Linked DNA regions of Arabidopsis thaliana. The protein of the gene in region 1 purifies or fractionates together with the protein of each later gene. This does not show direct contact. Each region holds a gene or a part of one and is shown in the gene's direction. Other genes may lie near its edges. The genes, in order: AT5G15520, AT4G15000, RS27A and AT3G61111.

Region 1 (8,645 bases):
TTCAAATTAGGCATCTTTGGTGGTAGTGTTGTCTGTTGTGTACATGAATTCTCTTTTCAGTGTTATAGTGTTGTTGCTTGCGTTTTAATTGTTATAGTGGACAATGCCGATTTTTACCGAAAAAATCAGCAGGTTTTGATCAGATTAACCAAATTTGTGATTTATATATTGTTTATATTGCTGCAAAGTTGAGATCTCATGATTTTTCAACATTCAGTGACTTCTTTTTGTCTTGTTGTACTCATTTATGGTTTATATATATCAAACTTGCAGGAACTAAAGGGTTATTATCTCTCGAAGTCCACGCAATTCTGATTTTGCCACCCATTTGTCGTCTAAAACCTCATTCTCATCTTTGAAACCAAATGTATAGTTTTGAGGTCTCTACTTACATCTGGTACAGTTTTGAGCCTTTGGATGTATTTTTAAGCAAAGCATAACTCTTTTATTCTTTAATCAGAGGCATGATTGGAGCTTTTGGGGTGTGCGTCGTCTTCAACACTCCTATTTCCAAGTAAGTAGATTCCGAAGTTTACTTAATACATTTACGCATGAATATTTTTAGATACTTTAGTATTGTTGGCTTATTTCTCCTTTGGCTGCAAATTTAATATTTCCATGTGTTTTTTTTTAGGTGGATCAATTTTTCCTTTATAAACCAAACCTCAATTAAGCACCCACGTCTTTAGAGCACACTGATACAAATATACACATAACACGAATACATACACTAAACGTAAACATACACACAAACGTAACTTTTGTGCTCACACTAATACAAACATAAATGCATAACACGAACACATACTCTAAATGCAATTGTTTATATTGTATGATGAATGAGTGCTAAACAGAAGTTTATGAAACTACTTACTAAGGTTTATAGTTTATATAAGAAGTTTTTTCATTTCTATAATCTTCAAAGTCGGTACGACTTCATTTCTCAATTTGTGACGTGGAATCAGAGCAGTGAAAAAGCTTTCTTTCATTCACACATTTTCTCTTTGATTCCTTGGAACTTTTCCAGGAAGCACTCTCAATGCTATAAACATATATAGGATTAGGGATAAGCTTGGCCATTTAGTTACTCGGATCGGTTCCATTCAGATTCGGTTCTTCGGATCTTGCATTTAATAGTTCGTTCCGCGGATTGCAAGTTACGTTTAAGTGTATTCACAGCGGGAAAATGGCTGCATTTATGAAATATAGTCTAAGGTTCACATATACATAGAGAAGGGTTTGTATTGTAAGGTGGACGAAAAAATCTTGTAACAAAACTCTATCACGATTAATACTAAACACTTTCAAGAAATTCTTAAGGGAGGATTCTGACATCCATAATTTGGCGCCAAAAGGAGGGGCCTCTAGAATAGGAATCGCTATGGCAAAAAACGGAGATCAAACCTCTACGCTCGACGAAATCAAGAAGATGATGAATGATCAACAACAATGCACCATCAGTGAACTGTTAAAGAAGTTCATTTCGTTTGAGGAGCGTTGCAACACTCAGCTTGCAGCCCTTACCGCAAGTTGCTCCAAAATCACGTCAACTCATAATACTTATGCCGACCGAGTTGACACTCTACTCCAGGGACTTTGCGAACCTCAAGATCAAGAGGGCGTTTAGAGTTTTACGACCCTATCCACCCGAACCCTCTGAGTTTCTCAAACTACTGCAAGGTCTCAGGTCCCAAAGTGTAACCGGAGGAAGTTATCAGCAGCCACCAACTGCTCAAATACTTCTGTAGGCCTCAACTACTTCTGGTTATAATACAAATGCATAAACGCTAGAAAAGAGGATTGCTTGCAGTGGGTTCGTTTGACCATCGATAGCATGATAAGTGAAGCTTTTATGCTACTGTTTTTCCCTTCTTTTTTTATAGATGAAAACATGGAAACATGTTTTATTAAGGTAATGCATCATGTAAAACCTTAACTTTTCACTGTTTTATTTGTTGCCTCAGTCAAAGACACACCATTCTCCTTTAGACACCTTTAACTGTGCTTTTATAAGCAGTGCGTTGTGTAAAAAACTGAAGTATGGGACAGAGAGCCAGGATTGAGAGGCTACAAAATACATTAGTTTCGCAGAAAACTAAAAAGCAAAGTGTAGTACGTTACGTGAAATCCCAAAAGATGGGTCAATTATTGAAGCGACAAGCAGAAATCCGAAACCAACCAACTTAAGCTGAAATAATTACTTGATGAGTTTTAGCACGTTGCTATAGCTTAACCGAGACTTTGAAGATGTTTTGAAGCAGCTAAAAGGATCCTTCTTCGTTTCAAGGTGCGATGACAAAAAGAGGCTGCATAATTTGTTGTATAAGTAACCATAAGTCAAAGATCTGAAAGAACTGTGAAAAAAATAAAAAACGAAGAGAGAGATCGGTACCGTGTCAACGCTGACTGGTTTTCCATCTTCAGCCAGTAGTTCCATGATGGTTCCTGACTTCTCAGCCTGTTTTCAAGACACGATTTCACAAGTTAAAGACTCTGAAACCTCAAATTCGCAAATTTCCAAGTGTAAGTTATCACAATGTTATAAAGAAGAATATCAGACCTCAATCTCGTTCATCAGTTTCATAGCTTCGATAATACAAACAATTTGACCCTTCTGTACCTTATCTCCAACCTGCAAATTGCAAACAGAAAACAAACCCACATCCATTTCAAATGTAATAACTGTTCATATCTCGATAGAGAGAATTTTCAAGACTTTGATTCAACTTCAACCAATAACAAATATTTTGCAGGTTTTTGTTTCCTTTCTTTCGTACCTTTACAAAAGGGGGTTCACCGGGTCCAGGAGATCTATAGAAAGTACCAGCCATGGGACTCTTGAGTGGAGGATGAGACGAGGATGGGGCGGATGTTGGTTTTGCTGTTGCAGGCGTTGAGGTAGGAGTAGGAGAAGGAGGAAGAGCCACTGGTTGAGCTGGAGGCATTGAAAAGTCTGCCATTACAGGAGGCATTGAGTGATAAACTGGAGCTGGTGGTACAGCTTGCTGTAAAGCTTCCTTCTTTCGAATAACGATCTCACAGTCGAGCTGCTTTAGTTCAAGTTCCACTATGTCTTTTGAATCCACAAGCCTTAATAAGATCAAAATGTTTAGTGCTTGACTAGTTCATCGAAAGAAAGCAAACTAAAGGATAGTAAGGGATTCATTGGATTGTGGACTTACTTAAGAAGACCAGAGACTTTAGCCATAAATTCAGAGAGCTCGGCGGGTTCAGGAACATTGGTTTTCGCTTTTCCGTTCATATACCCACCATTAGTCATTGGAGTGGAGTTAGAAACAACCTTGGTAAAGTCGAAATGATTAAGAAGGTTACACAGTCGTACAATTAACGTTTAATTGAATGGACCATTGTTGGTAAAAAAAACATGCAATCTCTACCTCATTAGTTGTTGCACGCAACCTCCAGAATGCAGAATGATTCTGCAGGAGAAGAACAGAACAGAGAATTATGAATCAATGCATACTAACTTTAAACAGTCACCAACTCGAGCACCATTGCAGTGGAAAACACACACAGAAAAAAGGCAAATCTTTTCGTAAAGGCTCACACCTTTTTTATAGAATCATCATATGCAAGAGAGGCAGAGAGAGAAAGAAGAGGAGCAGAAGAAACCTGAGAAACATCGGAGGGAAAGGAGATCCCATTGGGTTGCGGCTGCCATCTTTGAGTAGAGATTCCAGGGAGAGATCCGACCCGCCTGTTCAGAGCACAGATCTTGACGCAAGGTACCGACAATGACGCCATTGTTGAGACAGTGGACGATGAAACCGAGGAAGTAGGAAGGAGAGATATGAGAGTGTTGAAATGCAGTGTACTTGCTATATTTTTCTTTTCTTTATTTTTTCTTTGGTAAAGAAATCTGATTTCGATGCTTACGAAGAAACCCAACTCTTTTAACTAACTTCACCAAACCGCTCCTTTTGTCTTCTATCAGTTCAATCGTGCCATGTCATAACATAGTGCCTCGGTGTTTCTCTGTCTTATTTTTTAGTATATACACAAAATACACCAATATAGATAGATATAGATATGTATAGATATGTGTGTTCAGCTATACATGTGTTACTGGTCTAATCACCGGAACAGTCTTTCAGAGATTGCCTCCATGTAATCTGCATTTGTTTCACAAATCCAACAGTCTTTTTGATCCAATCTTTGGTCATAATGTCTGCAAGATTTAAAACTCAACAATATCCAGTGACACTTAACATATTTTATAGTTGGTCACTTCAGTAAATGCAGATAGGTGGGGTTTTATTGAAGACAAGACCATGCGTTTTTTACTCAGCTAAACTTGTCTGTGGCTTCTGGTCAAAAACATATCTTATCTTTATAACTTTCAGTAGCTAAAATAATAATTAAGACTGAACTACACTTTTAACTGAAACGGAGCGTATAAGCCGCTTAAATAGATTTAATGGCCCATAATGGGTTAGGCGGGTCGATTCGGGTTCAGTGTGTCCGAAAAAAACCCTAATTGAAAATTGATTGCTCAGATATATATAGACTTTGTGACTGAAAATTGAAAGCTCTTGGCTTAACTTAACGGAGTGATTCGTGAAATGGCGACTGGTAAAACCGTGAAAGATGTTTCTCCTCACGATTTCGTGAAGGCTTACGCTTCTCACCTCAAGCGATCTGGAAAGGTTAGTGTTTTGATGCTTCTCTCTCAAGTTTGATTGATTCAGCTGAGAATCGAAAGACGTCACAAAAGGATCTGATAATGAGTTTTAGAGGAAACAATTGAGAGTTTGAGGGAGCTTCTGATATTGTAGTTCAATGTGTTGGTGTGATTTTGAGGCATTGAATACTATAAAACGACTGAGGAAGAGAGAAATAGAGATAGAAATGATAGATTCTTGATGTTAGTGATCATAGGCAGCTAATTGGAAATTCACTGTAATAATAGTTGTCTCTTTTGTCTGATTTAGATTGAGCTTCCTCTATGGACAGACATTGTGAAGACTGGTCGTTTGAAGGAGCTTGCTCCATATGACCCTGATTGGTACTACATTAGAGCTGGTAAAAAAAAGCTTAGCTTTCTCTTCGCTTGTTTTTGTTTTTATAGAGTCGTTATGAACGTTGTTGATATCTTGTATGGTGCAGCTTCTATGGCCAGAAAGATTTACTTGAGAGGAGGTCTTGGTGTTGGTGCTTTCAGAAGAATTTATGGAGGTAGCAAAAGAAATGGAAGTCGACCACCACATTTCTGTAAGAGCAGTGGTGGTATTGCTCGCCATATTCTCCAACAGTTGGAGACAATGAGCATTGTCGAGCTTGACACTAAAGGGTAATTCTTATTTCTTTCTAAAGGCACTTTTCGTAGGAAGACCTTGTTAGTGACTTACTTTCATCTCTCCTCCTTTGTTCATTCTTTGTCTCAGAGGGAGAAGAATCACTTCGAGCGGTCAACGGGATTTGGATCAGGTTGCTGGGCGTATTGCAGCTGAATCATGAAGAGCTGTTGTTCTCCTTATGCTTGCTTTGGAGGAGCCTCAAGAATGTTATAGATCTTTTTAGCTTTTGTGATTTTAGATCTCTACTCTCTTCTGCTCTGTTCATTTTGACGAACTAATTTGATATTTGATGAAGCTATTAAAGTTTTGTTCTTTACAGTGATTTTGTATCCCAAGTTTACTCTTCTTCATAGAAATCTCAAGAAACAATTTACTCTTCTCTATGAAAACTCTTCTGGTATGTCAGTCATATACAAATTTAAATTGGAAGATGATTTAAAACTCACATATGTTTCTTGACCAGAACTAAACCAATGTACACCGGATTCTGCAAACAAATGTATGAGAGGTGGAACACGGATTGAATCATAAGATAAGTCAGTTAAATCCAAATTCAAACTGGAGGATAAGTATTATATCTTTCTGAACCAGATCAAACCAGATTTTGCAAACAATATGGAATCTTTCTCATTTTCTTGGGTGAAGACCAGATTATTATTACAAAGGTGAAACAAGAATGATTGTCAAATCTATGAAACTGCAACTAATTGGTTACAGAAAGGTAATGTAGTTTTGAAAATGAGAATATGAACAAGGATGATATAGTAGTAAATCCAAAAGAAGCTTTCTAGAGAAACTGATATTGGAAATCGCTCATGCAGGAGCCAGTTTCACTCCAAGAAGATGAACTGCAGCATCTGATCTTCTTGTGTTGCGGTATGTGAAACTTGGGATCTCGTGGTGCAGTTGGATGTTTGCTCGACCTTTTAATGGTAAAAGAAAACAACAAGAAGCAACTGTGTCAGCTTTTGCAATGACGTTCATTGTTATAAGAAAGTTTACTCTATTAGTTGGTCTGTGAAAACTATATTGAAAACATATTTCTCACTTGAAAACAATATCTATATTACCTATCATGCTCTCATAATAAGAAAGATTCAAGAGGATAGTATTTATGTACCAGTCTTTTACCTTCTTGGAATGAATGGTCGATCAAAGTATGGCATTGGTTGTGCTTTTGGGACCAATTCTTTCCTCAGCCTTCTTATCTCTTCTTCCTCTGCCAACTAAAAACAATATTGGATTTATCAAAATCAGTTAAAGCAAAACTCTATTATCGGATATGGCCACAACATCTCATATTAAAGTTTACCTTCTGTTGTCTTTCTCTTTCCATTTTGTATTGCTCAATGAAGCTCATCTTCTCGGCAACCTAGAACAACAAAAATTCAGACTTTAACATGAAGAAATTTATGGAACAATGCAAAGTTACTATAGACAAGTCAACCTTGGCTACAGACTACAATACACACTATTTGACACTATCAGCTATTTTCCTTTCCGTCTCAAGTCTTAACACAACCAGCTGATAAGAAAACAAGTATACTCTAAATGATTTGACAGAATGAAATGGTTACTGAAGCCAAATCATGTCAGCGGCTATGTTTTAAGGTATCTTGAACTTCAAGCCCAACAAAATGTAGATTTAATCATTGCATTAGCAAGGTTACCTGGTAATCAAATTCTGCGCGTTCAACTGCCCGGACATCTGAGTGGAGCGTCAAGTCGACTGGTCTTGTAATGTCTTTCCAATGAGGCTTCACTAGGCACTGAAACAGAAAACAACATTAGAACTTTTCATAGTCAACAAGACATCATCTCTCACTATTGTTACTACTAGAGCTTACAAGATCAATTGAGATGTTAATAGGAAAGCAGAACATGCTTACCTCAGGTTCATCGGTTGTCCATGGAAGACCTTGAGCAATGGGGATTCTCATCTTTTCTTCCTCCATTGTTATTTCGTGTATCTTTTTTGCTAACTCTTCCTCTTTCACTTTACCTCTTTGCTGCAGAGAGACAAAAGACCAACCAACTGTCATGACTCAATTTCCACCATAAAATTCGAAATTTTTCTTTAGTTTTAATCTAAAGAAACTCATACCTCAGTTCTAAGCTTAAACGGCTTCAATGAAGTGACCTTAACCTGCTTCTTCTTTGATCTTCTACTTCCCATTGTAGTCGATGACTCCATGCTCTGCCATAAACAGAAATATCAAAATGATTATTAAACTATACTGACATACTAAGCAAGACAGACAACCATTAAACAGCTAAGAAAATTCAGATGCTGCATGCAGGACACTTACATTTCTTCTACTTCTCCTGCCAGCATTTGAACTTCCACTCAAAACACTGAAACATCACAATATCAAACTATTCAGAACAAGACAAGTTCATAATTTCAGTGAGATCTCTTAGTCAACAACAAACTAACCTGCCACGGGTGCTGTCCCAGGACGAAGAAATCGAAGCATTGGGGTCTAAACCCAGATTCTTAGCTGTTAAGACCATTTCAGATGGACAAAACGAAGAACTCCATGGGTTTTTCTCTTTCTCACCCTCCAAGAATTCCAATTTCACAGGTTTCTTCGTATCCTCTTCGGTTTGATTCTCTTCTATCTTGTTGGCAGTCTTTGAATTACTAAAGCAAGTGAGTTTCTCAAATGCTTCTACAAGATTCATCACTTTACCAGATACAGGCACACTTTGCCGTGCTTCTTCCACCACCTTAGCTCTTGATCTCTTCATTGTGGAAACGCCTGTTTTCTCCGGTTCTCCAGATTCTTTTCCTTCTAGTTCATCGCCATTTCCGAGATTACAGCATTCCTCCAAAGCTTCCTTATCCTCCTCTGATTCAATTCGATTTTTGAAGAACTCCTCTTGCGAAGCACGCAGAGTTTCATATGCAACACAAACACACTTCATGTTCCCCTTCTTCCTCTCTCCGCATTTACAATCTATCTCAGCTGCCTTGGATTCTGTAATCGCTGGCTCCTTCTTCCCTTTCCTCGAATTCTTCTTCGCCACCACAACAAACTTCCTCTCTCTGATCCGATTCCGGGGAGAGAAAACCGCCTGGGTAGGTTTAGGGCTCGGACTCGGATTCTTCTGCGCTGATTTCTTCGCAGATTTCATGAGCGGTGATTTAGAAGGACTCGCTTGTGAAATGTTAGGGTTTGCATTCTCCGATGATCTGGAAATCTTTTGATTGGACTGAAACTTGCTCCGATCCTTCACCGGAGTCCCTGCTTTCCCATTCTTCAATGTCAACGACTCCATCGAAGATAACAGAATCTGGAATCAAGAGAGTAACACGAACAGTAA
Region 2 (7,552 bases), on another chromosome or scaffold:
AGACTGTTGAGATCTTTTTCCAGGCGAAGGAAAAGATGTAAACGTCGATTCTGGTACGATAATCGGTTCGCTACTGTAATGTTGTAGCTGTGTTTGCTGCTGAGGATATGAGGATGTCCTATACAGAGAATTTGAATTAGGAGATGATTGTGGCTGTGAAGACCAACTAGCTTCCTGAACTTGTTCTTCAACTGTGTGCTGATCCAACCAGCTTGTGAACTCATTATCCTGAGTCCAATCTGTAGCAGTAGAACCTGGACATAAAAACTACTGTTAGAAAAAAAGCTGATAATGGATTTTTTTTTTGTTGACTTGTAATTATATTTCCAACTACCACAACTTAATACTCCAATCATTCACCTCCAGAAGTGGATATCTAAAAGTACAAGCTCACAGTTTTTACCTTTAGTTGCATAGTTCAAGAAGAAGAAAAAGTAACATAGAAGAACAAGAATAGTAAACAGTAAACAAAACTCACTTTCTCTTGAAAAGGACCCTGATCCTCTGTCACCAATTACTCCAAGGTGTTTGGGCCCGGTAACATTTCTGTTCAGCTGCACAAGATAAGACCAAATAATAAGATAAGTTAAAGTAGAGAACAAGTAATAATAAGAAGCTGAGAAAGACAGATCATTTGTCTCAAGAGAGACGATGAAAAATGGTAACAAAATGATATTAGTAGAAACAGAATTATTTAAAGTCATAATTCGGAATTTACAATATGCTAACCTTTGCAAAAGTTGTGGCAAGATCATCCATGTCAGATAATGATCCTAAACCAGCACCCTGAAACCAGAAGTAAATGTTTTGTTTTATCTTCCATTTATCTCATATATAATTAGCATCAAATATTGCCAAGAACAGACTCAGTCCAAATTACCTCTCTTTTATCAAACAAGTGATACTCTTCATCATCAACATGTCCACGAACAGTACCATCATCATCAAGACCACCCAATTCGACTTCTTCAAGACTTTGACCAAAGAACTCATATTGAGATGCGTCAAAGAGTGCACTATTGTTATCTGCACAAAGACAATAAGATCCAGTTTCATCAAACACATGAGGTAAGTGACAATCAGTTGACCAGAAAATTTAAGTAAAACTAAAGCTTTTGTAAACAAATCTGTGACATTTCAATCATTTCATACAACTTCAAAAATCAAATTAGTAAATCTTATAGGTTACTACAAAACTTAAAAAAAAAACGAATCAAATACTGTAACAAGGAAGATAAATCAAACATAACAAGCATGAAACAAAAAGTATGTTTCTCTTAAAGTTTTCACAAATCAGAAGCAAATCAAATCATTCACATCTCAGATCAAAGAAAGAAGCTTTAGCAAACTGATGAATCACAAAATAAAAACACTTTTATTAGATTTGAAAACAAAAAGAGCTGAACAAGAAAGAGAACTGACCAGAAGAAGTCTTAGCGAAGTTGTAGAAATCTCTAGAATCAGATCTCTCCATGATCAAACACAAAGTAGCAGAGACACGAAGACAGCTAAAACACAAAAAAAAAAAACAGCGAATACGATCGAATCTCCAAAAGGGTATTGCTACTTCTTGTCAGAACTAAAGAAAAGGTAAGTAAAGATTAGCTGAAATCGCTAGAGGTTCCCGATTTTCCGGGATTCATATTGAGAAAGAAGAAAGTCGAAGGAGGAAACTTCTCTTCCTAAAGAAGAGATTTTTGATTAGATTAGATTAGAGAAGAGAGAGAGAGAGAGAGAGAAAGAAAGAGAGAGCCTTTTTTTATTATCTCTGCCCTGTGCTATGCGTAACATTGACACATCTCGAACAAATCCTCATTTCTCTGTCTGAAATAAGCATTTCACCTTTTTTTTTTTTTTGGTTCGTTAAGTTAAAATAAAAGAGAATAAATTAAAAATGTTTTCTTTTGTCGTCAAGGAAAAATTCTCTTCTGTTGACAAAAAATCAAAAGTAAAAATATTCCACTTTCCGAACTTTTTTTTCTTTTAATTAAAATTATACAGTATGTTACTAAAATTAGTGATAGTGATTACAAAAGATAAGAATAACCTTTTTTTAGTGCTGTCTGCTTTTTTATTTTATTATTCTCTCTATTTTAATATTATTTATTACATATTGCTGTGTCTACTAATATTAGTGATCATAAACATTTTCTTATCATAGAAATATAATTTCCTGCGGCATTTGAAAAACATCGACCGATTTCGTGTAATCCACACTACATTCACGATTAAAAAAAATTATTTTTTTAACATATGAGACCACTATAAACAATTATACATGTAAACCATACATAATTTCATAATTTGCATTTCTAGGCTTCAGATTTTATATGAAAACATTAAATAAATTATTGGATAACTACGAGAATTCGTCTTATTTCTGTAATTATTTTGGATAACTACGAAAAACAATTTAATTGATATAGCCATATAGGTTATACCACATCCACTAACTACTAGTATATGATTCTAATTAGTAAGACGATCCTTCTAAATATATGATTCCACCTATTTTCTCCTTTTAAGTTTATGCTTTTACTTGTTTGAAACTCCTCAACCAAACCAAATAAGTTAGTTATGAAAACTTAATTGCATAGAGATTAACAAAATTAAATACACATCGACGAAATAAAATAAAATAACTGGAGGGACAAGTTATATGGTCCATGTGAACGGATTTCATCCGGTCGGTTCAATTTGATCTCATTTGCTAATTTATTATACACAAATTCAAATGGTCTATTTTTTATAAAATATGACACCTATATACTTACTTGCGTAGACACGATATAACCGGCCAAGCAAAGTTTTCTAAAATATATAATAATCTGCAAATATGATGTTAACAGTCCATAATTATAGACTATAGTCTCGCAGTGGCTAGAAAAGTCAAGCATGCAATTTTTAATTATAAATATTTGACACATTTTAGTAGAATTATAAACAAATATATTGATTGCTGCGAGAAGAAGTTTCCAACTTTGTTCGTATGATGAAAGGTAAATTTTGTGATCGAAAACGAAAGTAGACATGTTTGAAAGTCTTAAAATATTGGTAGAAAGGTTTTCGAAATTTTCGTGACAATTAAATTGATAATTTTGAGTATGGAACTTGATCGAAAAATTAGAAGATTTTGAGAAAAAGACAGCATGTTTTTATGCGATACAATGTATAGTTTCACAAACAATTCCAATAATAATATGATAAATGTATAATTTTGTAGATAGTATAAGTGTAATTTTGTAAAAGTTAGTCACTATACATAGTGGTAGTGCTATGAGCAAGCCAAAAAACATATATGAGTAACTAAAATTAGCAGTCAAATATAGAGTTGGATAGCTTCAACACCAATCATAAAAGTTTTATCAAAACCGTTACTAAAAGTTTTACTTTTTTTTTTTTTTACAGCTCTCTCGTATAATTCTTTTGTAAATTTTGCACTATTTCAAAAATACTTACAACTCCAGCTAACAACTTAATTCTTTTTACAGTTTTGTATTATCAATGGGATCCATAACAGTTGTATAATTTTATATATGTCTTTGTTAGTTCAAAAAAAAAAGTTTTTGTAATAATAACTCTTTTGAAGTTTGTACGAACGTAAGAAAAAAAAAAAAGGAAAACTAGAATTAGTATGACCCAATAACTGAAGCTAGGTTTACCAGGCCGTGTGATAAGAATATAAAGCCCAAATTAAAAATGGGTCTAACCTAAAGGCCCAATAACTGAAACTAGGTTCTCTCCGCATCCATTTTCTGCATTACTATTAAAGCCGCATTTCTCATAGAATCCGCCACTTAGGGTTCATAGCAGCCAGAGAGAGAGACAAGTGAGAGGGATCTACCAAACGAAGCAACAATGGTGAAGTTCTTGAAGCAGAACAAGGCCGTGATCCTTCTTCAAGGACGTTACGCCGGAAAGAAAGCCGTCATCATCAAATCCTTCGACGACGGTAACCGTGATCGTCCTTACGGACACTGCCTCGTCGCCGGACTCAAGAAGTACCCGAGCAAAGTCATCCGCAAAGACTCAGCTAAGAAGACAGCTAAGAAATCTAGGGTTAAGTGTTTCATCAAGCTTGTTAATTACCAGCATCTGATGCCTACTCGTTACACACTCGACGTGGATCTCAAGGAAGTGGCGACTCTTGATGCTCTTCAGAGTAAGGATAAGAAGGTTGCTGCTCTTAAGGAAGCTAAGGCTAAGCTTGAGGAGAGGTTCAAAACCGGTAAGAACAGATGGTTCTTTACCAAGCTCAGGTTCTGAAGAAATTTTCTATTTCGTGAGGAATTCATTTTGAGCGTTTTGTTATCGTGTTTTTTAGTTTCTAGGGTTCATTTCCCATGGTGAAAAATGTGGATCCTGTTTTGGATTGTGGAAGATGTTTTGTTGAAGTTTGGATTATGGATTTGATCTTTTATTTTGATTCTCTAATGCATTCTTATTTACTCTTTTGTTTCCGTTGAATTATATTTGCTTAGGCTTGAGGAAATGATGAATTTAGTAACGTCTTTAGGCTGATATTGGTTAAAATCTGGAGGTCCATTGCAAAGAATTCTTGTTCATAGCCTTAGTTAGAAAATTATAGATGTTCAAGTTTCGTAATCTTCGAAATTGAATTTGGTGTTACTAATTGTCTTAATCACGGTTTTGAATTAGCAAAATATCAATAGCTAATTGTTTTTTGAGCAAGGTTCTGATACAATGGCTATATCTCCTTTGTTTATAAGCTTCTCTGGCATTAAGTTTTGATAGAATCGGGAAATGTATTTACCAAAAGTTGAATCTTGTATCGTTTTTGTTAGATTCTGAATATCCCATTGCAAGTAGCTTATTCCTAAACTCGTCGTAAAATACAGCAAATTTTCGAGTTTCATTTGTCTAGGAAATTGATAATTTGTAATCATCAAACTTACAGATACAGCCAATGATGTTAATTATTTATTTCAGAGTATTGAGAAAAACTCACATATGATTTCTCTGTTAACTGTATAACAAAACGCAGGCTACTAAAAAACAATCACTATTGCGGTATCGTTAATCTGATCTAAAGACAGATTTGTAGGCTTATGTGATTGTTTGTTTTCTCACTTGGGAACCAATAAATCGACAGCTAAGTAATAGCTTCCTACGATCACAGTCGATGCAACAGAGCTTCGAGCCATCCTCATCCCAATACCTCGGAACAAGAGATTTCTGTCTGTAGGATGGATTCCTGTCCATCTCTCTAATCTCTTCCCTGGTTTATTCCATTTTAGAAACTTCCTCTCCTTTGCTGTATACTGTAAGTAAAACAATAGAAACCCAACAGAGAAAATGAGTTTCATATCTCTTTGTAAGATAAAGTGGAAAGCCATGAGTAGAGTTTCTTTAAACCTTTGGCAATATTACACACTGTGCACGTGTTCTTGCTGTGTCAAAGCTATGTGATGCTGCAGCTGCAACGGCACCAGATATCCCAGCAGCAAGGCTAATGGCTACCGGAGATAAAGGTCCAACTTCTTCTTCAGAACTGAATTCATCAAGTTTCCGCATAATCATTTTAACAATCAACAATCCAAGTTCAAGTGAATTGAGAATTCAGTGTCGATTGAGAGTTTTAAGTACCTGGGCAGAGGATTCATCCCAACAGCTTTCCAACCGACCATTGCCTCGTGAAGAAACTGCCATGTTGAAAAGAATACTCCACCGTAAATACAATCTCTTATAAGACCTGAACGTAGATTCCTCCATAAAGCTCTATATCCTTCAAGTGATGCAACATCGAGCGGTCTCTTAACATCCATGGCTGATGGTGGGTTTCCTGTTCCAGTCATCATCCAAGGGTACTCTTGCAAAGCAGCTGTCATGTTTGGGTGTTTGTGATTTAAGACGGATAAGAGACTGACTGTTTGTGTCAATGACTTTACATCAAGAGTGTATCTTCTTAGCAGTTTTGTGATCATGGGTGAGACCGGTGCGGTCTCTGCAACAGCGGAAGCATTTGGAGCCCGTGATGCAGCAGTCACTTGTTTTCGGACTTTGATTAGCTCAAATGGAGAAGTCATCACTGTTTCTGCTGCACCTCCCACCAGACCAGCCAGAAAAGCTTCACCAACACTCACGTAGTTATCATGTCGACCATCTGGAGCGAAATGAATTCATATTCAGATTCTTCAAGACAAAGGTATTGCCCAAAAAGGAACCAAATTTGCGTATAAATGACATGAATGTATGTGAACACTGTTGCATATTCTAACATAATCCATGAACAAATGATTGCTGTATTGACTAATTAACTGATGTTATTGAGCTAATTGACAGAGGAGCTAGACACAAAGAAACCTAATCTTGAATCATCGAAATCAGACACAACAAAGGAGACATGGACCTGTGTAATACCTTTGTAGAAAGCTGTTAGAATCTCATAGACACCAAACCTTGCACCAAAACCAGAAATTCTTCCTAAAGTTAACGATCCAAGACCACTGTACAGACCTGCATTTGAAGAACATGTCATTATGCCTGATGCAGAATCAGAAAATGATTGGAATCTAAAAGAGTAGTTTGCGAACCTGAATAGCCAGAGAATCGAAGAACTCTATTAAAAACTTGAAAGGAGCTTAATTTCTTATTGGGTCCTGAACCAACCTGTAGTTCAATGCTATTCTTAATCCCCAGATGAATCTAAGTGATAAAAAGAACAATTTGGTGAAGAAGAGGGAAAAAACCTGGATAATGGTTTTGATGGTATCTAAAGGATAAGCGAGAGCAGTTCCTAACGAGACAGAGGCCGAGGCAGCGATGGCATGTGTCGCAAACTGATGATTCTCAAGAAGCTTATCCATCTTTAGCCTCAGCGAAAACAAATGTACATATACCTATACGTTTTTGTCAGCAACACTACAGACTACAGTATCAGTATTCAAACATACTATGTCCTTTACTCTTATCATAGTCTCCAAAATTAAGAGGTTTAGAAGTAGATCAACAAGTTCTTATCATCCATTTGATCCAACACAAAATAAACAATAATTAGAGTATTATCATACCTCAAGTCAAGAAGAGTTTTCTCTCACAGGATATTAAGTAAACAGAAACCTCATCATCAACCTCAAAGATGTTTCACGTTGAAGCAAAACCCAGATCAGCGACAGAGAGAAGACGAAGAAGACGACCGACGCTAATCGGAGAAGAAAAGACGACGTCGTTCAATCAGAAAATGCCCTAAAGGAAATGACGTCGTTTTAGTTATCAAGGGTAAACAAAAAAAAGTTAAAAAACGGAAAACAAATTTTAGCAAAATTGGGTTGGTGACGTCACGATACAGATTTGCCGATTTATAGGTCATAAACCAGAAAAAGCTGCCAAACCTATTTTCTTCGAACCCTAAAAACGGGCCGGGTCGATTTCTCCGCCATCGCAATCCTCCACCCTCCTCTGATTCTCTCCGCCGTTCGTCGGAAATCTCCATCTCCGGCTGATTCCAGCTTCCTCTTCTCCAGAACCGAAGCTACTGTACCGGAATTTTATCACTTTCCCCGAAACCGATTCACCGTAACCGGCCACAAAC
Region 3 (8,164 bases), on another chromosome or scaffold:
TACACATGAGAGTTTTTACATCAGCTTTGAGTTCCTTTTCCATCTTCTTCATAGATGAAGAGAGCCTTCCAAGCTCACCAATCTGATACACATAGGAAGATCAAGATCGGGATTTATGTTTATACGCGAGCAAATCAAAATGTTGAGAAGAGATTAAAAAAAACCTCGACTGCACTTGTACAAACGGATGATCCCAGCCAGCAGAAAAGTGATATACGTCCAAGCAATTCAGTTCGTTCTTTGTTCTGCGATGCGATTGAACAAGAATCTTTAGTCACTTAACAGAGCAAATGAAACATCAAAACTTCAAAAGACCATTATGGATTATTGCCTTAAACTTATCTCACCTTGTATATGCCGGATCTACCAAGCCAGACGATTTGATCAAGAAACAAAAAGGTAGACAAGAGCGCATTCTTCGACTGAAACGGTCAACCAACAAACAAAAACAGAAGTTAAAGAGATTGAATCAAATCAAGATATGAAGAAATGATGTGAAAATTCAACATCTCTTTAGCACCTTCCCGAGTAAGACAAGAGGAAGTGGAGTCCCTTTAGGCACGGGGCTGATAAGACCGTGAAAATCATTGACAAACTGCACATTCGAAACCATTTGCTAATCAGAAATCAAAACATTTTCAATCCAAATAATAAGAAAGAAGCAACAATGAAGCCGGTTCCAATTCTAAGAAACAAAGATAGAAATAGCAACAATGAGGGCATGACCTTGAAAAGACGGAAAACTTTTCTCGCCAAGCTGGTGTTTTTGTCGACAGTTTGAGCAGTACCAGGTTGGCCACCGCTCAAAAATTTGGAACCATATTGGATAGCTCTGCATATCTTATCTCTAGCCTCAGCTTTGTTCAAATAGAGAACAATAAGAGCAAGCTCGGCTCTGGTCAAATCTAGTGTAGTCATGCTTTCTTCTGTCAGAAAAACAACAACAACGCAACCCAAGATTCATCAACACACCTTTACACGAGCTCAAACTAAACTATGAATCTAGAAACAGAGTTGTTCCCATCTAAATTAAACACACAAAAAATCAAGAGCTATAGCAAAATTCATCCTTCTCTAATAAAGTCACGTTTGATTAATGAGAAACATGAGAAAAATGTTGGCTTTGATCAAATTCAAGCCAGAACATTAACTTCATCACCAACCACAAAGATTTAAAACACAACAATGCAATTAGCAAGTTTACAAAAATGAAAAAGAACGTCAAATCTAAGGCATGTGAAACTTGAAAACATTCAAAAATTTCAGAAATTGGGATTCCAATCCACTTACCTAGATGATCACGATAACGACGACCCAGGAGATGATTATACAATTGAGATTTCAGAGCAATTCAGCCTTCAAAAGACTCAAAACCCAGAAAGATTATAAATAGAAAAAATATCAAAATATCGTGAAAGTGGATCCGAGATTTATTGCCTTTAGGGAGATGGCAAAGCTAGCTGTTCTTACTTAAAATGTCAAATAATCTTCCTCGTTTTGTGTCATCGGAGATAGAAACTATGATAAAGGCGTGTTTGGTCATCTCTCCTTTTTATTTCTTTCTTTATAAATAGACCAAAACACGTCGTTTTGTTCAACGATCTAATCTCCTAATCGTTTCATTTCTAACCGTCGATAAGTTCCGTGTACACCACAGGCCTCATCTATACGCGCGTGTGGCACACTTATCGAGGAAGGAGAACACATCTTAAAACGCAGCGTTTCGTAGTGTTAATGGGCCAGGCCTCAAGAAGCCTTATTTTTTTCATTTTTTTAAAAAGCTGGTTCTGAAGTTAAACAAGACAAGGATGAAGATAACTTTGTATCCAAACAGTCACCGAAATAAGCTTGGACGGGAAATTGAATAACGGCCACATGAAGAATAATACCAAAGCCGGGAGAAGAAGAAAATGGCGGTGGCTTCTCTTAGTATTTGCTTCTCTGCTCGGCCACATCTTCTTCTTCGCAACTTCTCTCCTCGACCCAAATTTGTTGCTAGTAAGTTATCTTTAGCTTATGTTGGTGTTGGATGAACAATATTTCATTGTTTTGATATAATGGAGGCAAATTTACGAATTTTGTATTTCTCTGTTCTCAAAAGAGCAAACTTTAGTTACTGTTTTGATCATACTAATTGAATTTCATCTGTTTAATTGATTGGTTAGTGGCTGCAATGAGTGAGGATCCAATTCGTGAATGGATTCTTACAGAAGGAAAAGCAACTCAGATAACAAAGATTGGTTCTGTTGGTGGTGGATGCATTAATCTTGCAAGTCATTATCAAACTGATGCTGGTTCTTTCTTCGTTAAAACTAACAGGTATATTAATTGATGTCTTACTAAACCTCTCTGGTATTCATAGTCAAGACTTTTAATGTTTTGTTGTTTGTTACACTGGTTTTAGGAGTATTGGACCTGCCATGTTTGAGGGAGAGGCTCTTGGTCTTGAGGCTATGTATGAAACCAGAACAATCCGTGTTCCAAATCCACACAAAGCAAGTTTAATCTTTCTTTTCTTTCTTTGGCGTATATACATTATTATTTTTGTTGATCTCTCTAATCATAGATTCTTGTTTAAAAGTGTTAACAGGCTGGGGAATTGCCAACAGGTGGATCTTATATCATCATGGAGTTTATAGATTTTGGGGGATCAAGAGGCAATCAGGTGATAATGATGAATATAAACTATGAACCAATGTTAAGAACTTTAGTTTCATGGGTTCATGGTTATTAGTCATTAGGCTGAATTAGGAAGGAAGCTAGCTGAGATGCATAAAGCCGGGAAAACTTCGAAAGGTTTTGGCTTTGAGGTTGACAACACTATTGGCAGGTGGAATGAATTCCATTTTCAAAAATCTTAGTCACTTTTATTGAGTTGCTGTCTTCTCTCACAATCTTCATGATGTGCAATGTGCCTATTTTAGTACCCCGCAGATCAATACTTGGTCTTCGGATTGGATTGAATTTTATGGTGAGAAGAGATTGGGTTACCAGCTTAAGTTAGCTAGGGATCAGTATGGTGACTCTGCTATTTATCAGAAAGGTTTCTTTCTCTCTTCTCTCTCGTTATAAACTTGGTGAGAACAGATTGGTTTAAGGTTTGAAGAAAATATTTGAACAGGTCATACACTGATACAGAACATGGCACCTCTCTTTGAGAATGTTGTCATAGAACCGTGCTTGTTACATGGTGATCTCTGGAGCGGGAATATCGCATACGACAAGAACAACGAACCTGTCATTCTTGATCCTGCCTGTTACTGTATAAGCTTTCATTCTCAAATTCTTGATATATTTTACCATTTTCAAGCACCGTTTTGATCTCATTCCTCCTCCACAGATGGGCATAACGAGGCGGATTTTGGAATGTCGTGGTGCGCAGGATTTGGAGAATCTTTCTACAATGCCTATTTCAAGGTTCTCTTCCTTTTCTCACAGTTTCTGTATCAACTAAAATCAAGTTTAAAGGTTGTTTTGTTTCATTGCTCCCTCAAGGTAATGCCAAAACAAGCGGGATATGAGAAGAGGAGGGATCTGTATTTGCTCTATCATTACTTGAACCATTATAACCTGTTTGGCTCGGGCTACCGATCATCTGCGATGTCAATCATCGATGATTATCTACGGATGCTCAAAGCTTAAGATGAGGAGGGAAAGCTGCTGCTTATATGCTTTCTTTATGTGTGTATTTGTGTGTTGGTGTTATGTAAGGTGGTTTATACGAAGAAAGATGTCTGTCATACATGTTTAAATCGATGATCTGGTTGTACATAGGTGGTAATGTGATGGAGAGAAGAATTCACAATCGATTTTAAACATTACAAATAACAACTAGTAATAAAAGCAGCATAGTTAATGACAAGAGTTACTAAGGTCTGGTTCTTCTTGGGTTTTGGGGAGAGGGTCTCCTCCAGCAGAGAGGCTTTCCCAAACCCATTCGTCAGTGATGATCATTTCCAAAGGCTTTCTGCAGACAGGACATTTTCTGTCTACGTTTTCTGGCTGTGCTACGAGAATGTTGAAATTCAAGTTTTTGTACATTACGAAAGAAGAGGCGAACTCAGTGCTGTCTCGTGACATTACCATCAAAGTTGATTTACGATTGTCATTTCCCCAGCAAAAGAAATCATTACACATCCTCATAAATCTCGCTCCTTCATCTCCTGAAACCATCAACAGAGATCTCTAAGATACGGACATAAAGTAAAAGAAAAAGACAAGTACTGTGTTTCTTTACCTGCGGGTAAGAACATGATATCAGCGAGGAGAAAGTCATCCTTGAACTTATTAGTCCTCTCACCATAAACTCTGATTGAGACATTACATGGACGATAACCCTTTTTCTCAAGAGCAAGTTTGATATTCTCACAAACCACAGATGGCTCCACACCATCAGGGACTGGGCATTCCTCCACGTCCCAGAAGACGCCTACCTTAGTCTCTGTCAGCAAGGTTTTTCGAAAACGGAAGATGCATTACAAATCAGCATCGAGAGAATACAATTTGAATAGATCCATTACAAATGACATGATAGAGAGAGAACGAGAGCTTACCAGCATTTTCGCTTGTCAAAGAAGACATGGTTTCGAGTGACCTAGACTGAGAGAGACTTCTTCTGAACAAAGTTGACAACATTGGGACAAAAGTTATTAATTGTTCCTCAACTAGAAAGGGTCAGTAATGGGCCTCTGGTTGGGCTTTAAAATAAATGGTCCCGGAATGGTTGCATTCTGTACAACGAAGTTAATGGGCTCTTTTGTGGGTGTTGTACTAGGGACTTCTTATTTACAAGTTGCTCAAAATGTGAATTCTGGAACATAGAATGCTCCTTTCTCGTTTCTACTAGTATATAGTAAACAGAGTCTTGTTCAAAATGAGATGAAAAAAAAAAAAGTCTTGTTCAAAATGAGAAACAACACCAATCTCTCTAATCAAGAATTCTGTGCAAGTTTACATTTTGAGTAACTTGTAATACTGGGAAGGCCATGGAGTGAGTTTAAGAGCAGCTGAACTGGTCGTACCGGGAACTTGACTTAACCAGCCCCTACTACTCGATCTATGTCGGGAACTTGTAATACTCATCAGAACCCACAAGTATCATATTCAGTTTTATTATAAGATTAATCAATATTCATGCAAAGGAGTGAGTTTAAGAGCAGCAAATGCATTCAAAGGAGCAACAAACTTTTAATTTTAACACAGAAAACGTTAAGAACTATAACAAGATTCACCCTTTTGATTAATGAGAAGATACGAAAATGTTAAAACAATCCAATTTCGAGTCGGTAATGTCAAGTAGAATTCACAATCGATTGAAACGATGAATAACTAACTAAGCTCGGGTGATAGGGTCTCCTCCAAGTGATAGGCTTTCCCAAACCCATTGTTGAGTGAAAAGCTCGTCCAAACTCGTAACTTTGCAGTTGCTACATTTCCCTGGTGCTTTTTCTGGCTCTGCTCCGAAAATGTACAAGTCTTTGGCTTTCCAATCTGCGAGATAAGTGGCGAACTTCGAGTTGACTCGTGAGATCACCATCAAATCTGATTCATCATTGTCCAATGCCCATTTATCAATATCCTTCACCATCCTATTATATCTCGCATTTGCATCTCCTGAAAACCATAGTTATATCAATGGAGATATCTAAGACAACTAAGGGGAGTGAGTAGTGTTAAAGAGGGAGAGGAAATGATCACCTGCGGGTACGAACATGATATTAGCGAGGAGAAACTCATCCTTGAACTCATGATTCTTCTTACCGTAAACCCTGATTGACACATTACAAGGAAGATAACCCTGTCTATCTAGAGCTGATTCGATATTCTCAGAAACCTCAGAAGGCTCGAGATCATCAGGGAGTGGGCATTCTACGACGTCCCAGAAGACGACTACCTTATCCTCTTCCTCTAGATACAAAAAAGGCGGCAAAATGCATTAACAATCAGTATCCAGAGAATTACTATTGATTTGTTCCTCCACATACTATTAGAGAGATAGAGAGAGAGAGAGCTAACCAGTGGTCATGGTTTCGACCAACACCCGAGAAATCAGGGTTTTAGATCTGCGGCGGTGGAAGAGCGAGCTCTCTCTTGGTTTGGTTGGGTTTAAAAAGAAATGGTCCGGGAACTTTGGTTTAGTAATTTAGAAATCGAAACAGAGCAACAAAAGTTGATATGGCCGAGTTGGTCTAAGGCGCCAGATTAAGGTTCTGGTCCGAAAGGGCGTGGGTTCAAATCCCACTGTCAACAATTTACTTTTTTGTCTTTTGGTGGATGACTCTTCTTAAAATAAAAAGAGAATGTAAACCCTCCAATTCGATGAGAAGGTTCAAAAGGATAGCAAGGTCAGATTATGGTGTTAATATATAAAGGAGACATTAAGTGGTAACCCTAGAAACCCTTTCTCTCTCGCCTATTGTTGCCGTTGCTTGCTATCTTTCGCCGTCGTCTCTTTAGCTTCTTGCGAAGATGGTTAGTTCTCTCTTGCACTTTATTCTCGTCTTCATCTCTCTCCCTATACGTCTCTTGATATGATTTTGTTATAGAAAAACGAATCCTTTTAGTGAAATTTCGAGTCACTCAAGAGTTTTATGTAAATTCTCTTTTGATATCTTCTTCTATAAAAAGCTTGAATCTTTAGGTTTTAGTCACGTTTACGAAATATATATTAGCTTATTAGAAGTGTGGTTTTCATCATTGGGTTGATCTAATGCTCTAAGCTAATTTTGTTTTTGTTGATGTGGAACAGGTTCTTCAAAACGATATCGATCTGCTTAACCCACCTGCTGAGCTTGAGAAGAGGAAGCACAAGCTCAAGCGTCTTGTCCAGTCTCCCAATTCCTTCTTCATGGTAATCAAAATTTTAAAGCTTTCTCCTTCTCTTGAACCCTTTAGCAAATAAGTCTCTGTGATTAGAACTGTATGTTAATTTGGAGTTTAATGATTTTCTCATAATCCCTAGCTTTGACAGTGTGTTATGTGATGGCGATTTTTGGATGTAAGTTTGAGAATCTATGTAACTAGTTTCGAGTTTGTGAATTGTATGTATGTTTTGAGTTTGTGAATTTGATTTGTATCTGATTCTCATTTACTCTTTTATGGACTCTGATTGTTGTTTCTTTTCTTGTATATCTTACTACTGTAGGATGTGAAGTGCCAAGGCTGCTTCAACATGTAAGTTCTGAAAACAATCTCTTTCTTTTTCGACATTATTACACATATATAGAGGAACATAATCTTATCGGGTTCTGTTTTGGTATCGCAGCACTACTGTTTTCAGTCACTCGCAGACTGTTGTGGTGTGCGGAAACTGCCAGACAATTCTGTGCCAGCCTACAGGAGGAAAGGCAAAGCTCACCGAAGGATGCTCTTTCAGGAGAAAGGGTGATTGATTGAAGCAATCATCAAAATAATGAAGGCTGTTTTCTTTTTCTTTTTTTTTTGTTGTTGTTGGCTATGATGTTATCTCTGGAATTTTAAAATGTTTGGATTTTTAATATAAGTAAGCAGAGTTTGCTCTTTTACTTTTGAGATTATCCCCAAGTCTAAAATAGTTTACTGCTTGCTTGCATCTAATCCATTTGGTATCTCAAAATACTCACTTTGATTGGTTGTTTGTACTTTATATTTCGTCAAAAAAAAGTAATTAAAGAAGTTAAGAACTAAATGTTGGTACGTTTGTGTTTGAACTTTGAAGCAACCGTTATGCAAGTTTTTTATCAAGCTGGTCGCCAAGCTCCCAATCGTTATGGATCCCAAACGTTGTTTTAAAACACTGAAGAACGAGGTTGTTGCTAGAAGACCAAAGACATATGAGAGTAAAAAAGCCTTTCATGAACATTTCAGGGCTTTCTTTGATCAAATTGGTAACGAATCCATGAAAGCAAATCCTTCAGTGTCAACTATTAATATTTGAAACAACCAATGGTAAAGGAGGACTGAAAACTGGTTGGTATTAAAAAAGAGACAAGCTTATGATGATATCTGATTCAATCGGTAAGCTTCCTGAAAGAGCATCCTACTGTGAGCTTGGCCTTGCCTCCTGTAGGTTGGCACAGAACGTTCTGACACTTTCCGCATACCACGACTGTCTGTGAGTGACTGAAAATAGTTGTGCTGCAGTAAAAGAACAAAGCCCATAATAAGTTTTAAGTTTCTTAATTTA
Region 4 (7,600 bases), on another chromosome or scaffold:
TTGATTTGTGTCTGTTCTTAAGATCAAGAAACCAAATTCTGTCTTGTGGGTATCTGAAAAAGGTTATGTCTTTTTATTCTAACCCTAACTAGTTAAGGTTGATCACCATCCATCGATCTCTCAGGATCCATCGGACATATGGGTCAGTTTAGCTTTTAGATCCGGTAAATCTTTTGAAAGAAAACTTCTTTGTTTTATTTTGGGTTTTAATTGTTATCACCAGCTTTGATATGTGTATGTCCTTAAGATCCATGAAACCTCATATATACGTTTTGCCTCTTTAAATAGATATGTCTTTCTAATTCTAATTAGAGAAATTAATTAGGGTTTATCATGGGTAGCCGTAGATCTATAATCCATTACGCAGATATATCTTCCCAGAGATTTTTGTGTAATTAGAATTTCCTTTAGACATGCATTAAAAGTTAACACAGAACTTAAGGTTTTCGTTCTTTGGTTTTGAATTTAAGCAAATTCAGATTATTAATTAAAATATCTTGTGGTTTCTTTTGTTTTATAAACTGTAGAGTTGGCAGAACCATTGAGAGGTACTATCGCTGTAAAGACAATCTTTTGGACAATGATACGCTTGAAGATACTCAGGTCAATCATTTTTTTTCTTAAGTATGTTCATTTTATCTTTATATATATACGGAATTTGACCTTTGTTCATTCTAAGTGTATACATAGTCAAACTAACTATTATATTATAACGATGTATAAAATAAATAGAGCTAAGATAAATTGTAGTTAATCTTCTGCTTTTTGGTGCAGGGCTTGCGTCAAGAGGTGACAAAGCTCAAATGCAAATACGAATCTCTTCTTCGCACTCATAGGTTTAACTAATCGTACTCCTCGTAATCCATTACTTCCTATAATTGTACATTTCCTAATTTCTGCTACTAATAATCGTTTTGAATCGTTGAAAAAGGAATTTGGTTGGGGAAGATCTTGAAGGGATGAGTATAAAGGAATTGCAGACGCTGGAGAGACAGCTTGAAGGAGCTCTTTCCGCAACCCGAAAACAAAAGGCATGACATATTTCATACGTAGACCAATTTTTCTTGCGCATCATTTAGACCTGCAAAATACATTATTGAAATGTATATCTTTATATGCATGTATGTATATAGACGCAGGTTATGATGGAACAAATGGAAGAGCTTCGGAGAAAGGCAAGTACTCGAAATGATGTTCTACAATATATGCATGCATTGTATGTAAATGTACTCATGTGTATATCATTTTTGTATTTGGAATGGCAGGAGAGGGAGCTCGGAGATATAAACAATAAGCTAAAGGTTAATGTTTTTAACTGGACATCCAAATTATATATCAAGTCTTTCTTAGTTACTATGATTTTGTGTTAGTTAATTAGTGTATTGTCTACTCATAAATCTTATAAAATGGATAATCTTCATAATCAGCTTGAGACAGAAGATCATGATTTTAAAGGCTTTCAAGACCTACTGCTTAACCCGGTGCTCACCGCCGGTTGTTCCACTGATTTTTCCTTGCAATCAACTCATCAAAATTATATATCGGATTGCAACCTTGGATATTTTTTACAGATTGGGTACGTAATAATCGATATTTTTGCTTCTCTACTGATGAAATACAAGTCATGGTTTTATGAATAAATTTGGCCTTATTGGATACATATATAATATGAATATGATACATATGTAGGTTTCAACAACACTATGAGCAAGGTGAAGGATCTTCGGTGACAAAGAGTAATGCAAGAAGTGATGCTGAGACCAACTTTGTCCAATGATGGGTTTCGTTGTCTTGGTTTGGACTCATTGAGTCACGACGAAGCGTTTAGGTCATTTACTATCGGGACATACTCTTTTTTTTTTTTTTTTTCTTTTTTTTTTTCACAAGACATACTCTTTTCTTTAATTTCAATTATTTGTTAGAGTTCTCGTTGATTTATTGTTTGGAGGTTATATATGGGATAAGTATGTACCACTAATTTTTTTGCGATTAGTGGATTTTTTTGTTAACCGTCCTAAAGAACAAATAGAAAAGAACTCAACCGTTTCATATTGGTAATAGTGTAGTATGTGTTGTTGTTAATGAACGATATCAATCGAATTTACTTTCTACTAGTAGACTTGAAACTGGTATTAACATATCAGAGAAGCACACACAAACATAAAAAGAAGAATAAAAAAAGAATCGAAGAATTAAAAAGGAATTATGGAAATTTAGACAACATAAATCATCAATGAATGCAGTGGAAGACCATAATTAAGTAGATGATGCCTTTCAAATAGTAGTAGTAGTAGTAGCAGCAGCAGTAGTAGTCGTGAAGAATAATTATATAATTACTTGAATAATTCAAAAGATTGATAGCAGAAAAATTAATTAAATTACATTTACTTGGATGTGTTTACTGTTTACTTTACGAGTTCCCAATTTATTTAAACGTTTTTTTTTATTTGACTTGATGAGAGTAGGAAAATATCAACGCTGCGGAACGGTAACATTTTTGAATAAATATTTTAAATTGAAAACTTTTTCTACATTTTAATTTGACCGTTTGAATTAGATATTTTTAATGAAAATAATTAAGATAATGGACTCTTATTCTTACACGAGTCTGCCTTGAGATTAGGAATAAACGAACGTTGTGAAACGGTAACATTTTATGACTGTTTGAATTATTATTTTTAATAGAAAAATTAAGATAATGGACTCTATAAGTACTACTTTCTTCGGACAGATGATCTGAATTCTCTTACTCGTTCTTTTGTTCTTTTTCTTACAAATGTTAAATACACTCTGTTTTTATCATCTTAGTTCTGTTCGCCGACTTGTGTTCCGTCCTCACACTTGTGTTGTCACTCAAAGTCTCTCAAGCAAACATAAAGGCAACATCTTACAGGTAAATAATCTATAGTTTGTTTACTATTAAAAGATTGTTGTCAGTCTCTGTTAATAACCTTGTTCGTCAATTTTCAAAAAAAAATTATGGAGTTCAACAAACGTTTTAAATCCCTTTTATATCTTGACTCTAATGATGTGTCTCTGATCGTAAACTGGTTTTAGATATATATATATATATATATGTACGTCTTTAATAAAACTGATTTTTAGTTATATATGTTTGTTCGTTAATTGTACATCCAGTATATTGACTTGATGACTTCATTGATGTGAGATTAATTTTATGTGTGATGGTTTTATGAGTTGTTTATATGTTATGTCTAAGAAAACGTAGAATGGGTTTATAATTGTTGTGAAAACCAAGAGAGAATTTTCCTCTTTTTTTTTTTTGTAAGAAACGTACTTATGCATGTACCGAAATTGTTGACTAGTAGAGAAAAAAATTGTATTGAAGATTTCTATTGATTTTGCAGAGGGTGGACAAGTGACTGTGTGTGTCCGAGAGTTTCCCCATTGAAGCGCTTGGCCACTGGCCAGCCTTTTGAAGTTGTTAACACGGCTGTGTATATGCAATATGTGTATTTTTGTTTATGAAGGATGTATAGATGTATAGGGTGTGAATGTCTCATGCATAAATCCATAATAGATGTATGAATGTGCGGCATGAATGTGTCTCATATGCATAATAGATGAATGATAGGGTGTGACTGTCTCATGCATATATCCATAATAGATGTATGATAGGGAGTGAATGTGCTTACGCAAGGCGTGAACGTGTCTCATATGCATATATGTATAGGGTGAACACGGGCACAGAGAGTGAACGTAGAGAGGAAAACACAAAAATAACAATAAACAATCGCTAGTCAAAAAACACTCAAAAGTTCTATTGATTAAAAAATACCAAACAATCGCTAGTCTAAACACTCAAAGCGAATAAAACCAACAAAAATAACAAACGAGCGCTAGTGAAAGAAACTCAAAATTGCGATTGAGTAAAAAATACCAAACAACTAGTCGAAACTAGTCAACACCAATCTTGACCAAAAAACACCAAACGAACGTTAGAAAACACTCAAACTACAAACAAAATGTTCAAAAAAATAGCTGACACTCAAAATGGGTAAAAATATTTTCGGTACACTTTGGGTATTAATTGAAAACTGTCGAATTATATGGTCTTTTTTTATTCGGCGGATTCGTGGCGGAAATTTTCATTCTTCTATGTGATATCTACGGTTTAAATGATGACGCGGAAAGATCTCGTTCTCGTGCTATCTCCACGTGTTAAATGTCACATGAGATATAGCCACAATTGAAAACTGTCGAATTATATGGTCTTTTTTTATTCGGCGGATTTGTGGCGGAAACTTTCATTCTTCTATGTGATATCTACGGTTTAAATGATGACGCGGAAAGATCTCGTTCTTGTACTATCTCCACGTGTTGAATGTCACATGAGATATAGCCACAATTGAAAACTGTCGAATTATATGGTCTTTTTTTATTCGGCGGAATCGTGGCGGAAACTTTTATTCTTCTATGTGATATCTACGGTTTAAATGATGACGCGGAAAGATCTCGTTCTCGTGCGCTATCTCCACGTGTTGAATGTCACACGCCGGAGAATGTCTACTGTTTTGATTCTTGCCTAAGAAAACAAACTGTTGTGATTCTGTTTCAATAAGCGTTTGGGTATTTTTAAGAAGGGCTTTGATATTTGGTGATCATGTTGCCTAACTTTAAGGGCCCAAACCAAGAAAACGAAAACGACGTCGTATGGAGTTTTGCGTGAACTCAAAGCGGAGATCCTATCGGAGAGAATCGGAGAAGAAGAAAAAGAAGAAGAAGGGTTTTGTTACCGCAAAACTTCATTGAAGATGCAATTTACTCTTGAGTTCGGGTACACTATTACTCGTTTGTGTCATTTGCCCACTCTCATAGTGGTTTATATTTTGATTTCATTTGATTGACTCTCAAATGTCAATGCCTGTTTATTGGTCGGGAAAAAACTGAAAACTTAGTGCTTTAGATTATGGTTTCTCTATTTGCTTGGGATATTATAATGCACAGTTTGTAGCATAAGCCTATCTTTGTTTTGCTTATTCAGTGCTAATAAAGTAATGATTTTTGGATTGGGAAAATCATAAATGACTTTAGACTTTTTACATTCCGGTCATCATCAGATCAATTGGTAGTGAATGAGAGTTTCGTATTGGTATTAACATGAAAATATGTGCTTGTTGATCTCCTGCAGTGGAGGTTTAGAATTGCTCTGTGACTCCGTAAAGATTCATAAAGTTAACATCAACTTACTCAATGATTCTGATATCGTAAGCTTCTCTCTTTTGATGATTTTTAAATACCATTGAGTTTATTATAGTCATGTAAAACTTCTCACTGGTGTTTCATTCAGTACAGTTGACAATGAAGGATTTGCTTTCATGGGTTCGTACCAATTTGATCAAGGAAAGGCCTGAAATGTTCATGAAAGGCGATACCGTGTAAAGCTTCTCTCTTTTCTTTCCTTGATTTCCAGCAAGAACTCTGTTTTTAGTGTTTAATAACAATGGTGGTTTGGAATTCATAAACGCAGGAGGCCTGGAGTTCTCGTGCTGGTTAATGACTGCGATTGGGAACTTAGTGGTCAGCTCGATACAACATTAGAAGATAAAGATGTTATAGTTTTCATTTCGACTCTGCACGGTGGATGAATATTGAAATAGCAGAGCCTTGATCATTTTGATCGTTTCCAACTACTTGTGATGAACATTCCACAAACCTTTGTAATCTCTGGCTCATTGTTATTACTTTGAGTTTATATTTGCAACCACATCATTCGTAATTGAGGAGTTTTGATGTTATGAATCTTAGCTACCAGAATCAGATTCACCTCATGGTTGCTTTAATGCAGTGTGCCTTATGGATGTAGTATTAGTATATTATTGAAATTCTCTCTACATACTGAAAAATGTTTGGAAACAAGACTTACATAAGAAAAAGTTAAAAAAAAAAAAAAAAAAAAAACTAGACAAATTTAGGATGTTTTTTGTTTGTTTATTTATGGATAAAAAGAGAATGTAAATTCGTGTTCAAAAAAAAAAGAAAAAAAAAAAAAAAAAAAAAAAGAGAATGTAAATAAAGCCTCTACTTTGACTGAAAGGTCAAATTTGTTGTGTTTTCTTAACTATGTAGATGCTCTAGGCCCATTCTAGAAGATTTTCAGATTAATTGGTCTCCAAGTAACTAAGTAAACCTAATATATTCCCATCCTCGTTTGTTCACAACCGGCAGTGAGTAATTATAAAAACCTCTCTCGCGAATTGTTGCCGTTGCTTGCTAGCTTTCGCCGTCGTCTCTTGAGAGTCTTGCGAAGATGGTTAGATCTCTTGCACTGGATGCTCTCCATTTACATCTCCTGATTTGATTTTGTTATAAGGGTTTTAATCACGGTAACGAGATGGGAAGTAAGCTAATTAGAAGTGTGGTTGTGTCATTTGATTTGAGTACTGATGAGATGCAAAGTTAATTGTTATTATTTGTTGATATGGAACAGGTTCTTCAAAACGATATCGATCTGCTTAATCCTCCGGCTGAGCTTGAGAAGAGGAAGCATAAGCTCAAGCGTCTTGTTCCATCACCAAATTCCTATTTCATGGTAATAAAACTTTGAAACCTTTCTCCTTATTTAGAATCCTGTAAAAACCAAATCTCTCTGTTTAGAAACTGTAATACTTCAAGTTTTTTAATCGGATTCTAATTTACTTGTATGAAGTTTATCTACTCTTTCTGTGGACTCTGATTTTTGTTTAATTTTACTGTAGCTTGTTAGGTGCTCTGACTGTATCAACATGTAAGATTTGAAATCAATATTTTCCTGTTACATAAGATAAATTAAGAAACTTAAAACTTATTATGGGCTTTGTTCTTTTACTGCAGCACAACTATTTTCAGTCACTCACAGACAGTCGTGGTATGCGGAAAGTGTCAGAACGTTCTGTGCCAACCTACAGGAGGCAAGGCCAAGCTCACAGTAGGATGCTCTTTCAGGAAGCTTACCGATTGAATCAGATATCATCATAAGCTTGTCTCTTTTTTAATACCAACCAGTTTTCAGTCCTCCTTTACCATTGGTTGTTTCAAATATTAATAGTTGACACTGAAGGATTTGCTTTCATGGATTCGTTACCAATTTGATCAAAGAAAGCCCTGAAATGTTCATGAAAGGCTTTTTTACTCTCATATGTCTTTGGTCTTCTAGCAACAACCTCGTTCTTCAGTGTTTTAAAACAACGTTTGGGATCCATAACGATTGGGAGCTTGGCGACCAGCTTGATAAAAAACTTGCATAACGGTTGCTTCAAAGTTCAAACACAAACGTACCAACATTTAGTTCTTAACTTCTTTAATTACTTTTTTTTGACGAAATATAAAGTACAAACAACCAATCAAAGTGAGTATTTTGAGATACCAAATGGATTAGATGCAAGCAAGCAGTAAACTATTTTAGACTTGGGGATAATCTCAAAAGTAAAAGAGCAAACTCTGCTTACTTATATTAAAAATCCAAACATTTTAAAATTCCAGAGATAACATCATAGCCAACAACAACAAAAAAAAAAGAAAAAGAAAACAGCCTTCATTATTTTGATGATTGCTTCAATCAATCACCCTTTCTCCTGAAAGAGCATCCTTCGGTGAGCTT

The links.
Region 2: the proteins of AT5G15520 (region 1) and AT4G15000 fractionate together in Arabidopsis thaliana (co-fractionation; one large-scale study listed by BioGRID). This does not show direct contact.
Region 3: the proteins of AT5G15520 (region 1) and RS27A fractionate together in Arabidopsis thaliana (co-fractionation; one large-scale study listed by BioGRID). This does not show direct contact.
Region 4: the proteins of AT5G15520 (region 1) and AT3G61111 fractionate together in Arabidopsis thaliana (co-fractionation; one large-scale study listed by BioGRID). This does not show direct contact.

What each region holds. Positions count from the first base shown.
Region 1 is NC_003076.8:5,034,075-5,042,719, reverse strand, and holds AT5G15520 (Ribosomal protein S19e family protein), read left to right. Parts: upstream 1-3,965; 5' UTR 3,966-4,583; coding exon 4,584-4,667; intron 4,668-4,952; coding exon 4,953-5,043; intron 5,044-5,127; coding exon 5,128-5,311; intron 5,312-5,405; coding exon 5,406-5,478; 3' UTR 5,479-5,699; downstream 5,700-8,645. Other genes in the region: AT5G15537 (uncharacterized protein), read left to right, coding at 461-514, 635-689; AT5G15533 (uncharacterized protein), read left to right, coding at 1,884-1,901, 1,965-2,063; BCCP2 (biotin carboxyl carrier protein 2), read right to left, coding at 2,283-2,306, 2,393-2,458, 2,561-2,632, 2,778-3,090, 3,183-3,301, 3,399-3,440, 3,634-3,765; AT5G15510 (TPX2 (targeting protein for Xklp2) protein family), read right to left, coding at 6,132-6,333, 6,450-6,544, 6,631-6,690, 6,989-7,087, 7,208-7,327, 7,423-7,515, 7,628-7,673, 7,756-8,600.
Region 2 is NC_003075.7:8,568,038-8,575,589, forward strand, and holds AT4G15000 (Ribosomal L27e protein family), read left to right. Parts: upstream 1-3,778; 5' UTR 3,779-3,858; coding exon 3,859-4,266; 3' UTR 4,267-4,324; coding exon of another isoform or gene 4,325-4,350; 3' UTR 4,351-4,644; downstream 4,645-7,552. Other genes in the region: AT4G14990 (Topoisomerase II-associated protein PAT1), read right to left, coding at 1-254, 479-554, 730-786, 881-1,026, 1,423-1,474; AT4G15010 (Mitochondrial substrate carrier family protein), read right to left, coding at 5,088-5,282, 5,377-5,512, 5,608-6,124, 6,382-6,477, 6,555-6,630, 6,711-6,827; AT4G15025 (uncharacterized protein), read right to left, coding at 7,369-7,552.
Region 3 is NC_003074.8:22,605,242-22,613,405, forward strand, and holds RS27A (ribosomal protein S27), read left to right. Parts: upstream 1-6,279; 5' UTR 6,280-6,468; coding exon 6,469-6,471; intron 6,472-6,748; coding exon 6,749-6,850; intron 6,851-7,144; coding exon 7,145-7,173; intron 7,174-7,264; coding exon 7,265-7,391; 3' UTR 7,392-7,664; downstream 7,665-8,164. Other genes in the region: PEX11E (peroxin 11E), read right to left, coding at 20-82, 165-245, 348-422, 521-595, 727-918; AT3G61080 (Protein kinase superfamily protein), read left to right, coding at 1,911-1,998, 2,166-2,319, 2,405-2,495, 2,591-2,665, 2,742-2,830, 2,925-3,043, 3,122-3,262, 3,341-3,642; AT3G61090 (Putative endonuclease or glycosyl hydrolase), read right to left, coding at 3,853-4,163, 4,238-4,441, 4,554-4,581; AT3G61100 (Putative endonuclease or glycosyl hydrolase), read right to left, coding at 5,333-5,613, 5,698-5,907, 6,016-6,025; AT3G61111 (Zinc-binding ribosomal protein family protein), read right to left, coding at 7,989-8,115. UniProt on the Arabidopsis thaliana protein: May be involved in the elimination of damaged mRNA after UV irradiation.
Region 4 is NC_003074.8:22,612,591-22,620,190, reverse strand, and holds AT3G61111 (Zinc-binding ribosomal protein family protein), read left to right. Parts: upstream 1-6,188; 5' UTR 6,189-6,271; coding exon 6,272-6,274; intron 6,275-6,451; coding exon 6,452-6,553; intron 6,554-6,719; coding exon 6,720-6,748; intron 6,749-6,834; coding exon 6,835-6,961; coding exon of another isoform or gene 6,962-6,978; 3' UTR 6,979-7,100; downstream 7,101-7,600. Other genes in the region: AGL13 (AGAMOUS-like 13), read left to right, coding at 528-603, 775-836, 932-1,031, 1,134-1,175, 1,266-1,301, 1,428-1,576, 1,690-1,777; AT3G61117 (uncharacterized protein), read left to right, coding at 3,633-3,761; AT3G61113 (Ubiquitin related modifier 1), read left to right, coding at 4,776-4,798, 5,153-5,228, 5,317-5,399, 5,492-5,609; RS27A (ribosomal protein S27), read right to left, coding at 7,559-7,600.